3 linked regions of the Arabidopsis thaliana genome follow. The main gene of each other region encodes a partner of the protein of the gene in region 3 in a complex. Each region holds a gene or a part of one and is shown on either strand. Other genes may lie near its edges. A codon is read from its position in the direction of its gene.

Region 1 (7,607 bases), on a different chromosome or scaffold from region 3:
GCTCCAAGCAAACCAATAAGGGAGTATTCACACATTCAGCTTTTGTGTGCCCCTAGCGAAGCAACCTTTGCATTAAAAACATTTGAAGTCTCTTCTCTAAAAAAAGGCAGTGCTCAGCTTTGCCATATCCCTACACTGTTGTTCTCCCTTCTTTGACACACGATCACGATTTGTTGTTGTGTTCTGTGTAAAAGGGTTTTTCCTACTTTGTCCATTCTTCTTTACTACTTTGCCAAAGTTTCTAGCAAGCAGTGTGCTGCCGATTGAATCTTCAATATCTCTCTTGTTGTCTTAGTGTGTGCTGCAGCAATGCTTTTTCTCGGACTTCTCAGTCTCCATTTCATACGCTTGTAGGTGACCTACAACAACATCAAACGCAAGGGTATCTATGTCATTCATGGCTTGCGAAGGGCTGCTTCGCCGGGAGTGTGCTACAGAACAGAAGCTTTTTGACTTTTGTCTTTGTCTTTCATTTTGAGCAGCATTGGCAAAGCACAGATGAATTGTTCAATGGTCTCTCTTTCCTCCGTGAAGCCAGCAGCATATCAATACGAGATCTCTTTACACTTGTCAACCCTTCTGTAGGATATCCCAAGCATCTTTGGATGATTCACCCTTGAATGTGTCACTTGCGATTGCTGACAGTGCTTTGCTGTTATACTTTCGACTTCTTCTTCTCAGCGTCTGTCCATTTATCACTATCCTTTTCTTGCCCTGCCGCTTCTACTCCTTTCACCCCTTTCTCCACAGCATACCATGCGTCTTCATAAATGCCTCGGTGCATCTTCACCTTCTTTTATAGTTCCCTTTCTGAGATTGGTCGATGCACAGCAATCAATTCCTTAGATTCCCGCAGTGTGCTGATCCTCACCACCTGTTGTAAGTAGTCTTGGTATTTGGTCGGTAAGTAAAGGTACGGAAAGAGCGGACAACTAATTAAAATCTCTGAACGTGATACGTAAATGGGAGAAAAATATGGATGAAACCCCTTATCTATCTTTCCTTCGGCAAAAAAAGTTTATGAAGCCATCCTCGCCTCGGGGATAAGAGATCTTTCGATTCTGGAGAGTAAGCTTCAAGCTCAAGATCTCATTTGTGATCTTCTTCTTCGCGAACCTAATCTCAAGTGAACATTTATTATTGAATTCTCAATTTTCGTATAAAAATACCTGCCTTTCATTTTATTGAAGAGAAAACCTCCCCCCATTTGAACGAAGTCTCTGGCCTTCCCCGTTATGACTTTAGAGTATCTCTCACGTCTTATAAGTCACTTAAAAATGAATGGGCGGATAGGACCACTCCTGCTTGCTCTTGGCCTTGGCTGCTTAGAGACATCCCTTTAGTTCGTCTTAGAGGTCTCGATTGGTATTGCGCGGTCGGTAACGTTGGTGAATTAGGTAAAGGTACGGAAAGAGAGGGATTCGAACCCTCGGTAAACAAAAGCCTACATAGCAGTTCCAATGCTACGCCTTAAACCACTCGGCCATCTCTCCTACATTATGACCCAGAAACCTCGAGTGAATAGCGAGTCATTTATATTCTTGCAGTAAAGGTACAACCACAAACAATCTATTAAAAATGGAAACCTTTTTAGTCAAAGAAAGATCTTCCTTCGAAGAAAAAAAAACAATAAGAATTGTTACCATTAAAAAAAAAGCACTCTTTCTATTCATCTTTGTCAAGACGACGATCTCGTTATATTATTATATTTATACCGGATTTTGCCAATGAATTGGAACGCGAATCAACTACTCCCTTCATGGTCACATAGTCATTACAGAATTTTGTTTCAGGTATATATGTCTTTCTTAATTTCATATTGGTAGTACCTATTTTTCTATATAAATTCTTTGTGGTTTTTACCGCCCGCCGGTTCGCTTATCGCCTTTTTTTCCTCCGTTCACTTTCTCCTTTATCTTCTTCCTACCTTGCGGGGGTGACTTAGGCGCTAGGGTTAATACCATATTATATCGAATAACTCCTTACCTTTTTTCAAGAGAAGCCTGATTCTAGTCAGGATTGAAAAGATAATGACGAACCTTAAATGAAAGGTTGGTCCAATCTGAGTGCTTATTGTCTTCTTCTTCGCCTCTCCTCTTCCGCCCGAGCTGATCCGAATTCTCCTCTTAGTATAGGATTGTTAATAACTTGACTTAATGGTTATAGTGTAAAGGTTAGTTCTATATTTTTTCTTTCTTTATCAGAGGTTTTTTCCTTAGGCCTTGGGGGGCGGGGCCTCTTTTTTGATTTTTTAATAAAAAAAGGGGGAGAGGGACCCTTTTTGATTTTTGAAGTACAGCCCTACTCTATAGTGGAGTTATCTTTTCCCTATCTAAGCTATATCAACATAGCAAACTAGAAAACTTATCTGCTTGTCAATTCTTGGTGTAATATGTAAATGATTGGTGTCAGAATTTTTCACTGATCAGGTGTGATCAGTCTCATCCGTGTAAGAATTAGGAATTCCTCTTCCAACTCGTCCCAGAATGGGCGTTATGGCAAAGAACAAGAAGAAAACCAAAGGAGAAATTTGTCCAATAGTAACAAATGGTGCCTCCACAGGTTGACATCCGATCCAACCTAGTAGTAAGCAATCCGCCAAAAGCAACCAAAACATTCCTTGGTGAATCGGTCGAAAACTTGAACTACGCACATACATACTTTTAAAAAAAGGTAAAGCCAAGAGACATATAAAAACTGGTGCTATTGCGGCTACACCTCCCGCTTTGTCAGGTATACTACGAAGAATGGCATGGATCGGTAGGAAATACCATTCCGGCACAATATGAGGCGGGGTGGACATCGGATTAGCAGGTATATAATTGTCGGGATGTCCCAAAACATTAGGAGCATAAAAAATCCAAATAGAAAAAAAGATAGCAAAAGCTACCCAACCAACTAGATCCTTGACATAAAAATAAGGGTAAAAAGCTATTTTATCCATCTCAGAATGTACACCCAATGGATTATTTGATCCATATTGATGCAATGCGGCCAGATGAAGAAGACTGGCGCCTACTAAAATAAAGGGGAGTAAATGATGAAGACTAAAAAAACGATTTAAGGTGGCATTGTCCACGGAGAAACCACCCCAAAGCCAAGTCACTATGGTATCTCCTACTACAGGTATGGCGCTAGCTAAGCTTGTAATTACTGTAGCTCCCCAAAAGCTCATCTGACCCCAAGGTAGTACATATCCTATAAAAGCTGTCACAATCATTAATAGGAAGATTACAACTCCAAGACACCAAACAAATTCCCTAGGACTGCTATAACTCGCATGATATAGACCACGAAAAATATGAAGGTAAACCACAATAAGAAACATACTTGCCCCATTAGCATGCATATAACGGAGCAACCAGCCCCCTTCAACATCTCTCATAATGTGTTCTACGCTGTTGAAAGCTAAATCCACATGAGGTGTGTAATGCATAGCTAAAAAAACGCCAGTCACTATCTGAATGACTAAACAAATACCAGCTAACGGACCGAACCCCCACCAATAACTAAGATTGCTCGGGGTTGGATAATCTACTAAATGCTGATTAAGTGTGGAGGATATAGGTTGTTTAAGAAGAGAGAATCGTTGGTTCCTTATAGTCATTTCTCTTTCCTATCGTGACAACTCTTGTTCACCCACCTTTTTTTTGCGTTCTAGGGCCCTAAAATATCCTCAAATATATATATAATATTGATATTTGAGCCTTTCTTTTACTTTTGAAGGATGGAGGGGGCGAATTAAGCGTCGACGTTTTTAGAATTCTTTCTCCTACACACTTTTGCCCTCTTTCACCGAAAAGGAAAGAAGAATCTTTCAAGCGGGCAGAGACCTAAATTTCTTAGATTCATTCCTAAGCTTGCTTTGTCGCAGCAAGATGGATTGGATGATCAGTCCGAGAGTGCTGGAGAGAAGAGAAAGCGGTCAAAACTTCTCTGATTCGGTCACCGAGCAGTCGGACAACCCTTCAGTAACCCAGGATGGATGACCCGAGAGAAGATCTCGTCCACCAAGCGGGATAGCGGAGTGCGATCCTTAAGCAATTGGAGGTTCTCGCTCATCTCTTGGGATCCATATCATCTGTGAAAACTTTTCCTGTTACATTAGCATAGCTAAATTTGAATAGGATGACTCAGCGTCAGGAAAAGTAAGCCCCCCTTTGCCTTGATTGAATTTGGCTTCGCTGCGCTCTGAATCAATCAATAAGCTTATTGATTGGATTCATCCCATTTCATTTGGGCGAGAGGTCCGAAGGAACAAAGGAGCTCGACTGTAAGGAGAGGAACGAGAGTGAAACGAGAGGGAGGCTGGGGCTTATCCATGGGACTTGCCTTGGCGGTTAGACTCTCTTTTAACACATCCTCGAATTAGTCTCGTCGGTTGGTTGATTCTCGAAATCACCTCTTGAGAAAAAAAAAAAAAAGGTCCATCAGGTTTTGCCCTGCCATCTCCGGCGAAGCTCCATATCCGTGAGACTGGATCACTGTAATTCACAGAAGTCCATTTGGACCTCTCCTTTTAGTCGAGTATGTAAACAACCTCTCCTTTCAGTCGAGTTCCCTCTTTTATAAGAGTAATAAATTACGTTGGACCTCTCGCAACAAGTGCTCGAGTAATAAATACCTCTCCTTTTAGTCGAGTCATTTATACCTCTCGGGAGTAGGGGCTTTGTTCTGGGGGGGCCGACTTGCGCTGCTTTAGAAGGGAGATAATTTCATAAAGTAACTCTCTCTATCTATCCTTAGAAGTAGGGCGATAGAAAGTCAATATGAGATTTGCGTTGGTTTTTCCAACGAAACAAAGCATTATCATTCGGAAGGCTCAGTCCCAACTCGGACTTCCATGATGGGAAGAACCTCCGCACTACGGCGCTCCAATGAACAAGAGTTCTCCGCCTTAGTATATTTAGAAGAGTGGTCGGGAGTTACATTCGTAAGTTAATGTTATGTTCATGCATTATATCTTTCTTTCCAAGAGTACTACCTGTACGTAGTCTATGTATGGGGAGCATACTTGACAGGAAATAGACACAAGCGGTAGAGAGGTCCCCCACTTCGATTCCCGCCCCGTTCGCATCTCCGATCCAAGATAAGGGTTTTAAATACGTTACTTTTCGGTCCGGAGCCGGCTGGTAATGGGCTTACTTACCTTGCTTGTGGACCAGCTGCGGAGCTAACCTTTCTTTGTTCTATTGGTTTGGTGGTTGCTACCAAGACGATTTATTTATGCCCATCAAAGAACCTCGAGATGCTAATCCACGAAAAACGATACGAGAAATTCGAAAGAACTCAGATACAGAACGAGGGCGACCGTGGAAATACATCGGTTTCTGACTCGTGCAAAGGAACTATTTCTTGGCAACTTGGACAACTTATAACAATGTTTGTCCCGCATATCACTAGGAAGATCGGGATCTTTACAAAAGGCTTTATAAAGCTTTCGTCTCAATTCAAATTTAGCCGCGAGCAATCTACGTTTGTGATCTCTACTATTTTGCTTCTACGACATCTTACTGAGTTTCCCCCTCATCTTTTTGCAAAAAACCGCTCCACAGTGGTAAAGTCTCATCTTGTGTGTTGGCCGAAGTGATAATAGTCACATTGAACCCCCGAATATGTTCGAAGATCTCGAAATGATCTTCCAGTTCCGGGGAGAATTCGCAAAACTCCGTTTCCATCGAGAATTGAATGGAGTTTTTCCGTATTTCGACCGGAAAATCTAATAGAGACATTACTGTCGAGATTCTGACCGAAAAATTAGACATTCCATGCCCTCGGAGAGTGCTTTGTCGTGCTAGGTCACTTACATATCCTTTGTCTTTATTTGACCCCAAGAATGGATTAGATCGAAAGGACTTTCCTGTCGAACCCCTTTGTGTCTGTATGAATTTCTGACCGCGCGGAATCTCCATAGCCAATTTTCCATTTTTTATTATGAAATTATAGGGTGCCTTTGGTACTACTCTTATTTCACACGATCCAGGAACTTCCATAACGTTGGCGTGATTCGGTTTGAGCAACGGATCTTGACGTGATACATCTTCGTAATGAAAATTGAGTGGAAACATGAGTTGGCTTTTACAGTATCTATAGAATAAGCTGACTCCTCCTACTCCTCCTTTCCGAAAAGATCATCCTTGGTCCTTTTGACATAAGATTCTCGGCCCGCTTTCTCCCCATCCTCACAAGCCAACCTGACAGCCTCGCAAGATAACACGTACAAAGACAGATCAGATCAAAGGGTTACTCCCAGCAACATTACTAACACTTTACTGAACTAATGAACATCCATATAACTTTCCTTCACTAATTTCTTTAGACGGACTTCCCTCTTCTCTTATTACAGTTAGAACGGATTGAAAAAACAACTTACACATTTGGCACAAAGCGGCCCCATTACAAACAGGAGCGGCGGGACCGGGACCTCCACTAGATTTAGGGAGGCAGATTGCCCAAACAAAGCACTTCACTCTTATCTTATCTTATAGTGAAATTCCAGATCAAAACCAAACAAAGCACGCGTCTTCTTAACTAACTATTTAGTTAGATTCCAGATGACAACCATTCTACAAGACAAAGACGATTCAAGAAGCCGTGCCTTGAAGAAAAAACGATTCCAAATTACAAAACATTCGAAATGACCTCCTCCCAATAATCTAAGAGCTACAACGCAGCGCAAAGAAGCGAGTGAATTCGATGGATTGAGCTCCAAACATCCATACCACTTTCCTTCACTAATTAGCTGGACTTCGAAACATAGGAATCAAACTGGGAGAACAAGACATAGGAGAAGACAGATTTCGCACCTACATGATAGTGCCAGTTACGCACGTACTTTATGTGAGTCAAGCCAGAAAGCAGTGGGAAAACATCACGCTACAATACAACAGTACGTAGGTTCCAATCCACGAAAGGAATACAGGCGTACCGAGGGAGCACATAGCTAGTCTTATATGGAAGGAAAAGCACAAGCCTTACCCCGAGAAACCCCATGCTAGAATAGGCCTATGCACTCCCATACAGCGAAGGAAATCAGATCGAGCATGCAAAAATTCATAATAAATGTATCATAATTCAAGGCAGAAATCCCATCGAGCATGCAAAAATTCTCAATTCAAGGTGGAAAACACCTCCATCTATTCAAGGCGGAAAATCGCATCCAGGTAAGAGTGCAAAAATTCAACTACTGCATGAAAATTAGAGGGAAGGAAGCAAGTTAATAATCGCATATCATTCCTTTTTGACATCACGATTTCAGAGACATTCATAGCTCAGGAATCCACCATTAAATAAGGCTCCCAATGCCCACTCAATTATTTGAGTCGTTTCAAAGAAGGAGATGAAAGCGAGTCCAGGAAGGTCGTTTTGTTTGAAGTTGATCAGTCTAATATATCTCCCTCCGCCCTTGGCTCATAGGTAGCTCTGGAAGTTGGGATGTTTGCAATTCTAAATGGAGGGATTGGGAAGGAAGAGTGATCAATGCCAGCTAAGGTTGTTAGGTATCTTTGAAAGAGTAGCGTTACAGTTCATGTCAAATAAGAGTGGTGGGAATTCCATCTCAAAGAAGAGTGTTGGTCCAGTCCATCTCAAAGTTTGAGGACTCAAAG
Region 2 (6,788 bases), about 12 Mb from region 3:
AAAACCAAATTGACGATTTCTCGAAGACTATTAAAGGAATATCCGCAAAGAAGAAAAAAAAACATTTTTTTGGTAAAGGACTAATCTTTTTGTTTGCATCGGCCATCTCTAACCTTACGATTGTGTGTTCTTGCTTTGAGCGAAACCCTAGAATCGGTCTTAACCCATTTGAGCAGAGATGCTGCGAGTAGCAGGAAGGAGGCTTTTTTCTGTTTCGCAGAGATCATCGACGGCGACCTCCTTCGTCCTTTCCCGTGACCATACCCTTTCCGATGGAGGCAACTCCTCTTCCGCTTCTAGATCTGTCCCCTCTGCAGATCTCTCATCTTTCAATTCTTACCACCGGAGCGTTATAAGAGGTCTGCCGATCTACAACTCTTTCTGTCTCTCGATTGATTTTCATTTCTGGTGTTATCCATTGAATGATTCATAAATTTTTAAAAGTCACCTCTTTTGGGCTTGTATAAGTCCGGAAATGATTGAGATTCCTAGTTTCGTATCTGCGAGATGATCTATGGGAATTAAGTCATCTGTTTTGAATTCTTATGATGTGTATTAGAGCTTGATGTACCATTTCGTCTCATTCTTCTCCTTGCTGGAATAGTGATTGATCGGATATGAATTGACCAGCTTTGAGATAATCCTTTTTTGATGAGATAATCGATTTTGACATGTAGTTTATTCATTATTATGGAAATGGATGTTTTATCGTCTTTGGGCACATCATATAAGATACTTGCATCAGTAAACGAATCTGGAATTCCATATCTTTAACCAAAAGGGCTATGTTTGCAATCTTATCTTAGGAGTTTTCTTATGTTTTAAGCATTTATGATCATTGAAGTTCCTTCCTTGGATCTTGCGTTAGATAGATTAGTTTAGTTTTCACTGAATTTGATATCATGGTAGAAAATTGTTTGGATGACACCTTCTGTTATCTCTTGGAATCCGTTTTTATAATCTTATGTTATTCTATGCATTAATGTTAAATGTTTGCTAGTGTTATTCCTTTCTTCTGTGTTATCTCTTGAAAATATTTTTGCTTAATACTTGGTGTTGTTGAACACTTGACCAAGTATAAAGTTTGCCCTTGATGTGAAATATTAATGTTTCATGCTATTTTCAGGTTTTGCTTCTCAAGTCATTACTCAGGGAAATGAGATAGGTTTTGGTTCGGAAGTCCCAGCCACAGTCGAAGCTGTCAAAACACCTAACTCAAAGATTGTCTATGACGACCATAACCATGAGCGTTACCCACCTGGTGACCCTAGCAAGCGGGCATTCGCCTATTTTGTCTTGTCGGGTGGAAGGTTTGTTTATGCCTCTGTTCTCCGCCTGCTTGTTCTGAAGCTTATTGTGAGCATGTCTGCAAGTAAAGATGTCCTTGCCCTTGCATCCCTCGAGGTTGACCTAGGGAGCATAGAACCAGGAACTACCGTGACAGTCAAGTGGCGTGGAAAGCCCGTCTTCATCAGGCGAAGAACAGAAGATGACATCAAGCTGGCCAATAGTGTGGATGTTGGATCCCTGAGGGACCCACAAGAAGACTCGGTTAGAGTCAAGAATCCAGAATGGTTGATCGTGGTTGGAGTATGCACTCATTTGGGGTGCATCCCCTTGCCTAATGCTGGTGATTATGGTGGTTGGTTTTGTCCGTGTCACGGATCACATTACGATATATCTGGAAGAATTAGGAAAGGTCCTGCACCATACAACCTGGAAGTACCGACCTACAGCTTCTTGGAAGAGAATAAATTACTCATTGGTTAATGAATAAAGCACAACAGTCCGAGTGTCATGGTCTGGATGATCTTAAATCTGTTTTTGTTTTTATATTTTCCGGCATTTTAGCGTGCAAGTTCGCTTTCCTCACACTTTGGGCTCAGCAAAAATTGGCTTGTTTTGCTGAATAATACAAACTTGTCATTGTATGACTTAGTATCTGTCTCATCTGGTGAAAATACATTGTTCATACTTCATAGTCTCTGTTTATTATTTGAAAAGAGTTTTGAATAGTATCATCCCTATTTTTCTTATGTTTGTAATTTTGTAACATATCGTTTGTAAGAGAGTTTCCTTTCCTTAAAGTCTGTAGCCATTATCACAATTGAGACAAAAACTTGGTAAGGTTCAAGGTGTGTTATAAAACTTTCGTGTTCTTACTGGAGACGACATTTCGAAGACCTTCAATTCTCAACTAAGCCATAAACCTTCTCTTCCATAGTGAGAAATCCAATTGTGAACCTCGAGACTACTACTTTGATGAAAGATGTCATATTCTGGTTGTGGATCTTAGCCTAATTTTCTTGTTCAGATTGTTTTCATCGATGACTACTTCTTTGATGATGTCCTTCTAGCTCTTTCTTCTAGTATTGAAAAGTTCACACAGATGTAAAACAGTCTTTTTGTTGGAAATCTTGTTTAAACATTACAACAACAAAATATATCCTTTACCAAGTATAGACCCCCTATTATTATTATTAAAAATTACGATTTTTATACAAATAAAATAATTTATCTTACAAATACACACACACAAAAAAATTATATCGTAAAACCAAAAGATTTTATTAATTAAAATTAGAAAAAAAACCATGCCATCAAAATCCTGAAGTAAAAAAATATCAAGTAATACGCAAAAACCAAAAAAAACAAAACAAATTGACCTTTTCTCAAAGACAATTTTTAAGGGACTTACTAGTAAGTAGTCTCTTATGTTTTGTTTTGCATCGGCCGTCCCAAACCTGAGGATTTCTCTGTTCAGCTAGAGCGAAACCCTAGATTCACATTTGAGCTGAGAGATGCTGCGTGTAGCAGGGAGGAGGCTTTTCTCTGTCTCGCAGAGATCTTCGACTGCGACCTCCTTCGTCGTCTCCCGTGACCATACCCTTTCCGATGGTGGCGGCGACTCCTCTTCAGCTCCCAGATCCCTCCCCTCTGCAGATCTCTCATCTTACCACCGTAGCCTTATCAGAGGTTTGCCGATTTATAACCCTTTCCCTCTCTCTCTACATTGATTTTTCATTTTCGGTGGTTCTTTGCAGTTTTATTTGATTGATTGATTTTTGAAAAGGTCTTCTTTTTTTGGTTGTATGATTCACGGGAATGATTGAGATTTCTAGTATTGTATCTGCAATGATCCGTGGGAACAAACGTGTCATCTGATTTGAATTCCATGAGCTTGATGTACCATTTGGCTACATTCTTCTCCTTGCTGGATTTGTATTGCATTTGATGATTACTTCTTTCGTGTGGATTGTTCAGTTCTGAGATAATCCTTTGTTTTACTAGGAAAGTTTCCTCTTTTCGGTGCGTTAATCATAGTATGATTCACCACTGGCTTCTTGGTTTTTGAAATTTGATCTTGTGTATCAATCCTTTTGAGTTCTTCATTGTTAGGGACATGGATGTTTTAACTGTATACTATGTTTGTAGGATTTATAGCTGTTTAAAGGCATGCTGAGGAACTTGCATTCTGAAATTTATGTTTTCTTAACCAAAGAGCTTTGTTTGTTCTTAGCATTGGAAATTTTGTTGTGTTTTAAGCGTTTCTGTAATATACAGCATCTGATCAATATATTTTTTTCTCTTGGTTTATTACGTTGGTTTTAGTATTTAAGGTTTCACTGAATTTGTTATTATTGATTTGTTTGGATGAATTTGGTATACTTGGCTTCTCTGATTCATTCTTTCGTCCAGAAGGAAATGAACATTTGAGTTTATTGATGGATTATGGATTGACCTGTTTAGATGTAATTCTTTGGTTGATGACTAAAGCTCCTTGCTTGTAAATCATTGGAATGCGTTATCCATAGTGTGATTCACATTGGCTTCTAGATTCCAATTTTTTGTTCTTCTGTTTCCATGTTGATCATTGAATTTGTTCTCTTGTTTTTTTTATGGAGATTATCGTATTTAAGTTTCCACTCCCCGAGTTTGATACGATGGTTTGAATTGTTTGGATGGATCTCATACTTCATGGAATCCGTTTTATGTACTTTTGTTTTTCCTTAGAAGATTATACATCAATGGTCACATCTTGATTGTGGTAGTCCTGTGGCTTATTCTTATTCTTGTAGAACACTTGACCAAGTATAAAGTTTGCCTTTGATGTGAAATATTAATGTTTCATGCTATTTTCAGGCTTCTCTTCTCAAGTCCTTGCTCAAGGAAATGAGATAGGTTTTGGTTCAGAAGTCCCAGCCACAGTCGAAGCTGTCAAAACGCCTAACTCAAAGATTGTCTATGATGACCATAACCATGAGCGTTACCCACCTGGTGACCCTAGCAAGCGTGCATTCGCCTATTTTGTCTTGTCGGGTGGGAGGTTTGTTTATGCCTCTGTCCTCCGCCTGCTTGTTTTGAAGCTTATTGTGAGCATGTCTGCAAGTAAAGATGTCCTTGCCCTTGCATCCCTTGAGGTTGACCTAGGGAGCATAGAACCAGGAACTACCGTGACAGTCAAGTGGCGTGGAAAGCCCGTCTTCATCAGGCGAAGAACAGAAGATGACATCAAGCTGGCCAATAGTGTGGATGTTGGATCCCTGAGGGACCCACAAGAAGACTCGGTTAGGGTCAAGAATCCAGAATGGTTAGTGGTTGTTGGAGTGTGCACTCATTTGGGGTGCATCCCCTTGCCTAATGCTGGTGATTATGGTGGTTGGTTTTGTCCGTGTCACGGATCACATTACGATATATCTGGAAGAATTAGGAAAGGTCCTGCACCATACAACCTGGAAGTACCAACCTACAGCTTCCTGGAAGAGAATAAGTTACTCATCGGTTGATTAATAAAAGCACAACAGTCAAGAGTCTGGATCTGAATGATGATCTTCACTTGTTCTTTTTTTCTTTTAATTAATATTTTCCGGCATGTTAGAGCAAGATTGACTTGTTTTTGCTGAATAATACAAACTTGTGATTTTTGTTTGAAGTATACTCAATCTTCGTTTATCCATCGCTAGTAAAAGACGACTATGTTCATAGTCTGTGTTTATTATTTAACATGCCTATTTGTCCTATGTATGAGTGAGATTCCTTTCGTATCTCATAATTCTAAACATCGTCATTCCAATTAAAAAGTTGTATTTACATTTGAGTTTCGATAGTATCTCAACGTTCATAAAAGAAAAACTAAAGGTATGAGAAAAACCAACGTAGAAACAAACAACAAAAGGTAATATATCAGCTTTGATTGATAGTTTACAGGAAGATAACCGAATAAGTTCAAACTGTATTCGTAAGACATCCCGTGAATGAATATTCAATCATCCAAAAGTGGCATAGCTAGATTTTTTCTAGATTGGCTAAGAACACAAAAACATAATATTTTATTCTGTTTAATCTTTTTTAGTTAAGAAAAAATGTTTGACACACAAAAGCCAAAGTTTGATTTGGGTAAAAACCATTGTGGGAGATGAAAATGTTAAAATCTTGTTTGTTTTGGTCACCAACAACGGCCATGAACTATATGGGAAGTGACTTATCTCTTGTAAGTTGTTTTCCTTTTGGGATATGGGAAGTGACTTCTCCGACCCTTGCAAACTAACAACGGCCATTACACACTAATTACAAGCCAAAGGTCCTCACTAAGCAACCTCTCGTGTTTATCATAAGACACCGCTCTATCTCTTATTATTTTATTCATTGTTTTCTAATTTCAGACTGATTAATCATACATTAGAGAAAGTTTATTAAAACCATCTGATGTAAAAAATCACATTTATCTAAATTAAATAAATTTGTTATCTAGTATATAACTATTTATTGTTTTAACATTTGGATAAATTGTAAGAAATTAGAATGTAAAATAAGACAGAAAATGGTCAACTATGAGCATCTATCGCCATCATGATATAGTTTCGTCGTTTGCGTTCCCGACCTAACTCAAAACTTCACCAACCCCATTTTTAAGCCCCTTTCTTTGTTTTTATCCTCCGATCGATCAAACCAAGAAAAAACACTTTCGTATTTCCCTCGACGAAAAAAATGGCAACCATTTCGAATCTCGCTAATCTTCCCCGCGCCACCTGCGTCGACTCCAAATCTTCTTCCTCTTCCTCCGTCTTACCTAGATCCTTCGTCAATTTCCGCGCTTTGAATGCAAAGCTTTCCTCTTCTCAGCTTTCTCTTCGTTATAACCAACGATCAATACCTTCCCTCTCGTAAGTCTTTATATCCATTTGATGCATGTCTTTTGTCTCTGTTTCTCGCTCTTGGGGTTCACCAAAAATTGAATCTTTTTAGCTGGAAACGTACCACGAATCTCAAAGTAACATTTTTTATAAGATGGATTAGGAAAAGCAACTGTATTTCCCCTTTTTGGTTGGTAAAAGTCTGATTTTTTTGTTTAATTTGCAGTGTGAGGTGTTCAGTGTCTGGTGGAAATGGAACTGCTGGAAAGAGAACGACTCTTCATGATCTATATGAGAAGGAAGGTCAGAGTCCTTGGTATGATAATCTTTGCCGTCCAGTCACAGATCTTCTCCCGTTGATTGCTCGTGGTGTTAGAGGTGTTACTAGCAACCCTGCGGTAATTTTATCATCTCTCTTTGTGTGTTTGGTTTTGCTTTTGCTCTGTGTTTGTTCATTTGTCTTTACTTCTTCACTTTTTATACATTTGCAGATCTTCCAAAAAGCCATTTCCACTTCAAATGCTTATAATGATCAATTCAGGTATCTTTTTGTGATTGTCTTAGACTTGTGGTTGTTAACAACATGCTATTAAAACTTTAGAGTTCTTCTTTATATGAAAAGTTGTCTGATATGTTAATGGTATACCTGACATG
Region 3 (7,268 bases):
AGACGAAGGAAGCTATATATCCGCACCTTCGCAGTAGCTCCTCTGACTGAGGACTGTGGTCTGGTCGAGTGGGTTCCACATACACGTGGACTCCGCCATATTCTACAAGATATATACATTTCCTGTGGGAAGTTTGATCGGCAGAAAACAAATCCTCAAATTAAAAGAATATATGATCAATGTGCTGTTAAAAAGGAGTATGAGATGCTGAAGACCAAAATCCTCCCTATGTTCCCTCCGGTTTTCCATAAATGGTTCTTGACAACGTTTTCTGAACCAGCTGCTTGGTTTAGGTCACGTGTAGCTTATGCTCACACCACAGCAGTTTGGTCCATGGTTGGGCACATTGTTGGGCTTGGTGACCGTCATGGAGAAAATATTCTCTTTGATTCTACTTCGGGTGATTGTGTTCATGTAGACTTCAGTTGCTTATTTGACAAAGGCTTACAACTGGAGAAGCCTGAGTTGGTGCCATTCAGATTGACCCAGGCAAGAAACTGCAAAATCGTTTGTTTGTGTTCTGTTGGTATTTTGTTTTCGTTTGTCATAATAGTGAATTGTTATTTTCCAAACCACAGAACATGATTGATGGTTTGGGCATCACTGGATATGAGGGCATCTTCATGAGGGTATGTGAAATCACTCTCACAGTGTTGAGGACACATAGGGAGACGTTGATGAGCATCCTGGAGACATTCATCCATGATCCTCTTGTGGAGTGGACAAAGTCACACAAATCAAGCGGAGTAGAAGTTCAGAACCCACATGCTCAGGTTTGCATAATCATTTAATGATTCTCTTTCATGTCAGTTCATTTACCCTTTCTTTTTTTTCTAATTGCTTGAGACAACCACATGATTTGGCAATTACAGCGGGCCATAAGCAGCATTGAAGCCCGGCTGCAGGGCGTGGTTGTTGGTGTTCCGCTACCGGTAGAAGGTCAGGCTCGCCGGTTGATTGCCGATGCAGTCTCACTTGAGAATCTTGGGAAGATGTACATCTGGTGGATGCCCTGGTTCTGATGAAAATCTCTGAACACCAGCTGTTGTTAAGTTCACACTACACCAGTTTTCATAATGCCATTTATGTTAATACAGTAAGTTGACATGCAGATAACACTATCCTATGAAAACATGGGTGGCTACAAATCTTTTTGACATGCAGATGTTACTTGTATCATAGGCTCCTTGTGCACAAACTTCCTGTAGAAGTTGAAGCTAAAACAGTACATAAGCCAGGTCTCGCACTGTTTCATGATTCTTTGTGGAGAACGGTCAGTAACAATAGTGTTAACTGGAGCGGTCTTGGCTGCAAAAGTTTTGAATGCTTGAAAGGTCTTAACTGAGCCGGGATTTTGTTGGTTGCTTTGATCTAGCTCTGGTCATGAGAAAGATAGGTTTGTTAAGGTTAAAGTGAAGACTGATTTCCTGATAGATGATGTTTGGGTTTAGGCGATGGGAAAATCCGAATCGGATTCGATATTAGCAGCGGATCAGGCACGTTTGCTGCTAGAATGGCTGAAAAGAATCTGAATATTATCGGTATTACATTAAATATAGATGCTCCTTTCAGCGAATTCATAGCTACAAGAGGGATTTTTCCGTTGTTCAGAGGGAGTTTGGATTAGAGATTCCCGTTCTATGACAATGTTTTTGATCTCATTCATGCTTCTAACGGATTGGATTTAGCGGTTAGTAGTAAACCCGAGAAGCTAGAGTTCTTGATGTTTGATCTTGATCGGATCTTGAAACCCGGTGGATTGTTCTAGTTAGACAATTTCTATTGCGGTAATGATGAGAAGAAGAGAGTTCTTACGCGTTTGATAGAGAGGTTTGGGTATAAGAAGTTGAAATGGGTTGTTGGAGAGAAAACTGATGCTGAGGTTTTTCTCTCGGCTGTTCTGCAGAAGCCTGCCAGGATTTGATTGGTTTTTTTCTTCTTTTTAATCAAGATTTTGATCTTTTCATAGGTTATAAAAATTTGAGCTCATTACATTTTTATAAATATTGATTCCAAGGGACAATTAAAAGTGTGGACTTGTATTTTGAGGTTTTGTCCGATCCTGCATGTTTGTTTCATTGTCTGTAGGATTGTGCAATTTTGTTTGGTAATGTCTTAACGGAACTGGTTTTACATTAACGGGTCTAAATCCTGCCTACATTTTTCTAAGTTTTACAAAATCGAGTTCGCAACAGAGGTAAATTGGTTGTTCTGTGGAGTTTTGGTCTATCAGAAATAGACCACAGATTTTAACTTTTTAACTTTAATAGTTACAAAATCATGTTTTGTGATATACAAATAGGAGAGAGATTGTAAAACCACATTTTTATTAAGACAAACCGAGTCCGGTTTAGGAGACAACAAACCAAAAAGAAATAATATAATCTCAAAATCATGTGTGACTTGAGGTTAAAAAAGCTTTACTTCTTTGCCTCATTAGACTTTCTAAACAATAAACAAAGAAACATGTCTTTTGAGACAAAAAGTGGGATTCACCATTTATCCCTTTCAAGATTAATGATTATTACCCAGAGAAAAGGTGATCTTCACGGGATTAGTTAACAACGTCGAGAACAAGCTTACGGGATTTGAGTACTGACCATTTCAGTCTCCTGTAATACGCAGCTTGAAGCAGAGCCAAAGACAGTAAGAATATCCATTTGAACCCCATCTGCACACACATACAACCAACGTTAACAGATATCTAAGCACAAAGAGTTGGATTCTCGGTATAGCGGGTTTTTTTGGGTCGGTTTAGAACCAACATGACGGTTTTGAATACAGAGTAACAATACGGTTCATGTTTGATAATAGTTTTGGTCTGAGATTAGCAGCCTCAAGAAACAAGCAGTAGTGTGGTCAACACAACTATGCAACTAGGTGTGTTCAACACAACTATGCAACTAGGTGTGTTCATCCCGCTATACAGAAGACAGAACCAAGGAAATCTTAACACGGATAAAATGGCGATACTTTTTCTACATCCAAAACCAATCTATACTATGCCGGTTTAAGTTTGGTAACAATTTTCTCAAACTGAATCTGAAAATCAAATAATCAGAATCCAGATTGATATTCCTATTGCAATCTCGTACATATGGAAACGACAGCTTAAAACATGGAATATATGAAACTAAGAAACTTACCAATTTCCTCTCTTCCATCTCTGGTTCAGCTGCCCAGGACAAGAAGGATACAACATCTTTACCCATCTGCATCATGTTTTTTAAAAAAAGAAAAATTAAAGATTATATAATTGACTCAGAGGAAAGGTCAAATCTGATAAAACTTTATGGTCTGCAAATTATTTTCTTAAGCAGAGGAAAACTAACCTGTGCTTCTGTTGCAGGAGTTCCATCTTCATATTCCACAGCTTCATCGTTGAGCATTTTTGGCATAGCGATTGCTCCACCAGGGAAATAAGGATTGTAGTGTAGCCCCTCTCTGATCTGTACCCGTTAGTCACAGGATTATTTCTAACTTCCAACAATTTGAAGTTGTAATAACAAGTCTAAAGCAAAAATAGGAGAGAAATTTACCGAAATTCCAGCAGGAGGATCACGATAACCAGTCAACAGAGCAAAGACATAATTTTGGCCATTGTGACGTGCCTGGAAGAAAATAGCCAAATTGCTTAGATCATAGTAGATGAATTTTCTAATTGTATACAAATGGAGAGAAAGAGCACCAAACCTTAGTTACAAGACTTAGATCCGGTGGATACGCTCCTCCATTGGCGAACCTAGCAGCCGATTCATTTGAGTATGGTTCAGGAAGCCGATCACTGAGTTTACCAGGTCGGGTGAACATCTCACCCTCATCATTTGGTCCATCAACAACCTCGATTTCAGCTGCCATGGCCTTCGCCTCTTCCTCTGTGTAGGCAACACCCACCAAGTCTCGGTATGAGATCAGAGACATCGAATGGCAAGACGCACAAACTTGCTGATAAACTTGGTGACCACGACGGATCCTGCTCATTACAAATCAACCGTCAGTAAAGCAGTCTCAAATTTCTCTAATTTTCAACTTTAGTGTTGCAATTTCACTATGATGATTGAATTGTAGCTTGAACACTCACGAAGCATGGTCATATGAGCTGAGAATGCCCTCATGTGGCCAAGGGTAGTTAGGACACTCCAGACCATGTTCAGCCTCATCAGCAGATGCAACAGTAGAAAAACTCAATAATCCGGTAATACCAGCACCCATGAGAGCAAATGCTCTTAAACCAGCAGACCCAGCATCTTCATTCGCTTTCTTCGAAGACAACCATGACAATACCGGAGTTGCCTATGGTGGTAGATAATACAGAACAACAGTAAGAAAACAAAAAAAAAGGCCAAGACACAAGAAGGTGTATGCTCAACAAATCAAAAGACTACTTTTTCTGAAAAGAAATCGAATATTAATCATACTCTCGAAGCACAAATCAATAAGTCTAAGTTTCTTATATCCCAAAATCTCCAACGCCACAACAATTCCAGTTACAATTCTTCAAGGACAATCTCTCAGAGCAATGAAGGTGTAGACAGAACCAAAACAAATCATATGATTCTATCTTCAAACAGATCCTAAGCTACAGCAGAAAATCAAAAAGATGTAACAGGGAAAAAGCTCACGACTGATTGGGAATGAAGTTTCCTTCTAAGAAGCTGCCGGATAACTCCTCCTCCAACCATTGGATGAACACTTGTACCAATCGATCTCACTGATACAAACAGAGAAGATTCTCAGCCATTACATATACCCGAAACAATGAGTAAGCCCTAGAAAACTCGATTCTCTATATAGATCCGAAGTTCCAACAAATAAACAAAATTGAATGAAGAAATGGCAGATTCGGATATGAGATGTGTCGAATCGAGAAAATACTCACAGGAAAATGAAGCAACGAGATCGGCGATTGACGAACAGAGGAGGAGGAAGAAGAAGAAGAAGAAGAAGAAGAAGTAAACAGCTACCAGAGAAAATGGATGTCTCCGGATGACGCGACTGGACTGTCACACACAACACAACAACACCTTTCAGATTTTTCAAGTATCATGGGCCTAATTTAATCCATTAAAAGCCCATTAAGGGCCTATCCGTACAGTCAACAGCCAAAAAAAATATCTGGAATATTTCTCATTGGAATAAATGGACCAAATCTTGAAATTTAGTAAAGGGAGACTTTGTGTAAATGATCTATGTGTTGTTGTTTTTTTCAATAGTGAAGAGTTCATTAGTCCAGAATGTTCAATTACAAAAAGATTAACACAGGCTGAGATCGAGATCACATTCTGGCTTGTTTAGTAAATATGTCGATCGATAAATTATTATGGCTTGCATTAACTCATTTTATAGGGTCCAAAGCGAGGCTGCTTTGAATCTAACATGCATTATTGTAGTTCAATATCGAGAGGCGCAAATTTGAAAATACAACATATGTTTCGTATGCTCTCGGGATACTACATCGACTCCAAAATTATAATCTTCCTTAAACTTGAAAATGTGTTTCAATTTTACATAGTACGGGAAAATGTAAATGAGAAATTACATGTTCGCTTTTGCTAGGTAAGTTCATATATTAATTCCCACAGGTTTGTGAATGTTCATGGTATGTTTAATATCTGTTACTCATCTTGAATATCTTTGCTGAATAGAATCTCTTATACCTAAAAACAGAATTTTAATTAAGCAGGAGAAATTCTCATCATGACTCAACTCAAGCCGAATCATTAGGTTTTTGCAATCATAAGTTGTGGTTCGGAAAACGAATTTGGAATCATCAGAAAATTAATGAATGAGACATCGTCCTGGAAGCTTTTCTACATATTTTCAAGCCACGAAACAGTAACTTTCTTAATATGTTGATTGGTGAGTCCTTTAGTGTCTCAAGTGGAAGTAGTTTTTCATTTATGAGAGATGATTTAATATGAGTCGGTTTGAATGCTATGCATTTCCTTTCGTGTCTTAGAGAAATGCCTCTATTATGTTTTGGCTTTGGGGAATACCTCCTTTAATTATGTTTTAAACTTTGTGATCTTTGAATCACTCCTTCTTGTACTTGTTTTTATGTGAATGAATGAAAACAAGCCTTTGTAAAAAAAAAAACATATTCTTCTCTTAACTTTATCTACAAGGACCATTCAGCTTTATCAAAATTAAAAGCTATGCTATTATCTTGTCTAAGAGCTAGATAGCGATCTGCTTTTATTGGTGGTATGAAGGAAAAGTATAATTATATGATTAAGTATGTCATTATAGTAATTTTTCTACCTAAATGAATGTTAATTAATTTAGTTTATTTTGGGATGAGGCACCTCCCCAGCAGGTATCTTAATAACATATCAAATAAGGGTTTCGATTTGAGACATGTTTCCACATTGTATCACGAATTGTTCATCAGTGCCTAATTAAGAAAATATACAGTTTAAAATTTGTGATTTTAAAATAATAGTAATTTTCTTATAATTAAAAAATATTTATGTATCATGACCAACGCCTATTTGCTTGTAATGTCGGGTTACTTTCACTCCTTTATCAAAATTGTATCAAATTTTTGTATTTGCGTATAATAATTGTATTATAATGTTTATATATTTTGTAACCTTGTTTTATATCAATATATCTGATTTGACAAACAAAAAAAAGAAATTAAACAACCTAACATTATTTCTTTCAGAATTTAGTGTGTGTTTATAGGATTTTAAATCTAATTTTATATGAGGTATTAGATAGTGGTAATGTATTATGTTAAGAAACGAACTTAAATAATAATAAAATAATAAATATGATTTTTATTGGGTTTTATGACAAGTGAAAAGAATCCACTCTAGCGTATTTCAGTATGTTTTTACCGATAGAATTTATCCCAAAAAAAAATGACAAGGTGAAAGAATACTTATGCTTTTGTGTGATGTATTATGTAAAGGTAATGAAAGATACGTATGATAGGTTTATTCCGTGAAATGTTTTTCATAGATATCAAATGCAAATGATAGGTTTATTCCGTGAAATGTTCTAACCGAACCTAAATGATTAACACACCCAAAACCACACCAAGATGACTTTAGCTATAGAATGAGAGCACATCCCTAGAACCGGAGCTACATAAGTACATAGATCCGACCATAGGACAATGAGAAGACCTTATGGGTCATTGCTTTACACTTCCATAAATAGAGACACAATATATACACATGTATATATTTCCAAATGTGCCCTGACATGCCAGTTTTTTCAATTTTGAAATGGAGGACACTTCATGCAATTTGGTTGGTTGG

Evidence for each region. Proteins that work in one complex are often made in the same cells at the same time.
Region 1: the proteins of AT5G40810 (region 3) and AT2G07727 are in contact, whole or in part, in a cryo-EM structure (PDB 8BEL), measured with the Arabidopsis thaliana proteins. Residues at the interface, in NP_198897.1 of Arabidopsis thaliana: Ile83 (codon at 4,107), Leu111 (codon at 3,915), Ile112 (codon at 3,912), Arg115 (codon at 3,903), Ser180 (codon at 3,708), Leu181 (codon at 3,705), Lys184 (codon at 3,696), Ala185 (codon at 3,611), Arg186 (codon at 3,608), His187 (codon at 3,605), Ala259 (codon at 3,179), Ala260 (codon at 3,176), Pro262 (codon at 3,170), Glu263 (codon at 3,167), Glu266 (codon at 3,158), Arg267 (codon at 3,155), Lys268 (codon at 3,152), Met270 (codon at 2,671), Gly271 (codon at 2,668), Phe272 (codon at 2,665), Ile275 (codon at 2,656), Leu278 (codon at 2,647), Ser279 (codon at 2,644), Ala281 (codon at 2,638), Leu282 (codon at 2,635), Ala285 (codon at 2,626), Ala286 (codon at 2,623), Tyr288 (codon at 2,617), Arg289 (codon at 2,614), Lys292 (codon at 2,605); in NP_178804.1 of Arabidopsis thaliana: Ser30 (codon at 3,520), Tyr34 (codon at 3,508), Phe68 (codon at 3,406), Asn69 (codon at 3,403), Glu72 (codon at 3,394), Met75 (codon at 3,385), Arg76 (codon at 3,382), Asp77 (codon at 3,379), Trp82 (codon at 3,364), Leu83 (codon at 3,361), Tyr86 (codon at 3,352), Asp223 (codon at 2,941), Ile225 (codon at 2,935), Pro229 (codon at 2,923), Tyr230 (codon at 2,920), Phe231 (codon at 2,917), Val233 (codon at 2,911), Lys234 (codon at 2,908), Leu236 (codon at 2,902), Val237 (codon at 2,899), Val240 (codon at 2,890), Ala241 (codon at 2,887), Ala243 (codon at 2,881), Ile244 (codon at 2,878), Ser247 (codon at 2,869), Ile248 (codon at 2,866), Ile250 (codon at 2,860), Phe251 (codon at 2,857), Tyr252 (codon at 2,854), Pro254 (codon at 2,848).
Region 2: the proteins of AT5G40810 (region 3) and AT5G13430 are in contact, whole or in part, in a cryo-EM structure (PDB 8BEL), measured with the Arabidopsis thaliana proteins. Residues at the interface, in NP_198897.1 of Arabidopsis thaliana: Arg115 (codon at 3,903), Lys152 (codon at 3,792), Ser154 (codon at 3,786), Met270 (codon at 2,671), Trp274 (codon at 2,659), Leu277 (codon at 2,650), Leu278 (codon at 2,647), Ala281 (codon at 2,638), Gln284 (codon at 2,629), Ala285 (codon at 2,626), Tyr287 (codon at 2,620), Tyr288 (codon at 2,617), Arg290 (codon at 2,611), Leu291 (codon at 2,608), Ser294 (codon at 2,599), Lys297 (codon at 2,590), Ser298 (codon at 2,587), Arg299 (codon at 2,584); in NP_568288.1 of Arabidopsis thaliana: Tyr93 (codon at 4,245), Asp94 (codon at 4,248), Asn97 (codon at 4,257), His98 (codon at 4,260), Phe111 (codon at 4,299), Ala112 (codon at 4,302), Val115 (codon at 4,311), Leu116 (codon at 4,314), Gly119 (codon at 4,323), Arg120 (codon at 4,326), Val122 (codon at 4,332), Tyr123 (codon at 4,335), Ser125 (codon at 4,341), Val126 (codon at 4,344), Leu129 (codon at 4,353), Lys133 (codon at 4,365), Lys142 (codon at 4,392), Asp143 (codon at 4,395), Ala146 (codon at 4,404), Leu147 (codon at 4,407), Leu150 (codon at 4,416).

The regions. Positions count from the first base shown.
Region 1 is NC_003071.7:3,446,863-3,454,469, reverse strand, and holds AT2G07727 (cytochrome b), read right to left. Parts: upstream 4,937-7,607; 5' UTR 3,608-4,936; coding exon 2,426-3,607; 3' UTR 1,694-2,425; downstream 1-1,693. Other genes in the region: AT2G07728 (uncharacterized protein), read right to left, coding at 1-1, 229-359, 662-784; AT2G07725 (Ribosomal L5P family protein), read right to left, coding at 5,511-6,068. UniProt on the Arabidopsis thaliana protein: Component of the ubiquinol-cytochrome c oxidoreductase, a multisubunit transmembrane complex that is part of the mitochondrial electron transport chain which drives oxidative phosphorylation.
Region 2 is NC_003076.8:4,303,413-4,310,200, reverse strand, and holds AT5G13430 (Ubiquinol-cytochrome C reductase iron-sulfur subunit), read left to right. Parts: upstream 1-2,630; 5' UTR 2,631-2,801; coding exon 2,802-2,976; intron 2,977-4,143; coding exon 4,144-4,787; 3' UTR 4,788-5,095; downstream 5,096-6,788. Other genes in the region: AT5G13440 (Ubiquinol-cytochrome C reductase iron-sulfur subunit), read left to right, coding at 179-359, 1,127-1,770; TRA2 (Aldolase-type TIM barrel family protein), read left to right, coding at 5,989-6,164, 6,361-6,532, 6,626-6,675. UniProt on the Arabidopsis thaliana protein: Component of the ubiquinol-cytochrome c oxidoreductase, a multisubunit transmembrane complex that is part of the mitochondrial electron transport chain which drives oxidative phosphorylation.
Region 3 is NC_003076.8:16,337,614-16,344,881, reverse strand, and holds AT5G40810 (Cytochrome C1 family), read right to left. Parts: upstream 5,020-7,268; 5' UTR 4,880-5,019; intron 4,712-4,879; 5' UTR 4,683-4,711; coding exon 4,623-4,682; exon of another isoform or gene 4,294-4,622; coding exon 4,082-4,293; intron 3,974-4,081; coding exon 3,694-3,973; intron 3,612-3,693; coding exon 3,540-3,611; intron 3,450-3,539; coding exon 3,333-3,449; intron 3,213-3,332; coding exon 3,147-3,212; intron 2,672-3,146; coding exon 2,555-2,671; 3' UTR 1,955-2,554; downstream 1-1,954. Other genes in the region: ATR (Ataxia telangiectasia-mutated and RAD3-like protein), read left to right, coding at 1-489, 579-773, 873-1,022. UniProt on the Arabidopsis thaliana protein: Component of the ubiquinol-cytochrome c oxidoreductase, a multisubunit transmembrane complex that is part of the mitochondrial electron transport chain which drives oxidative phosphorylation.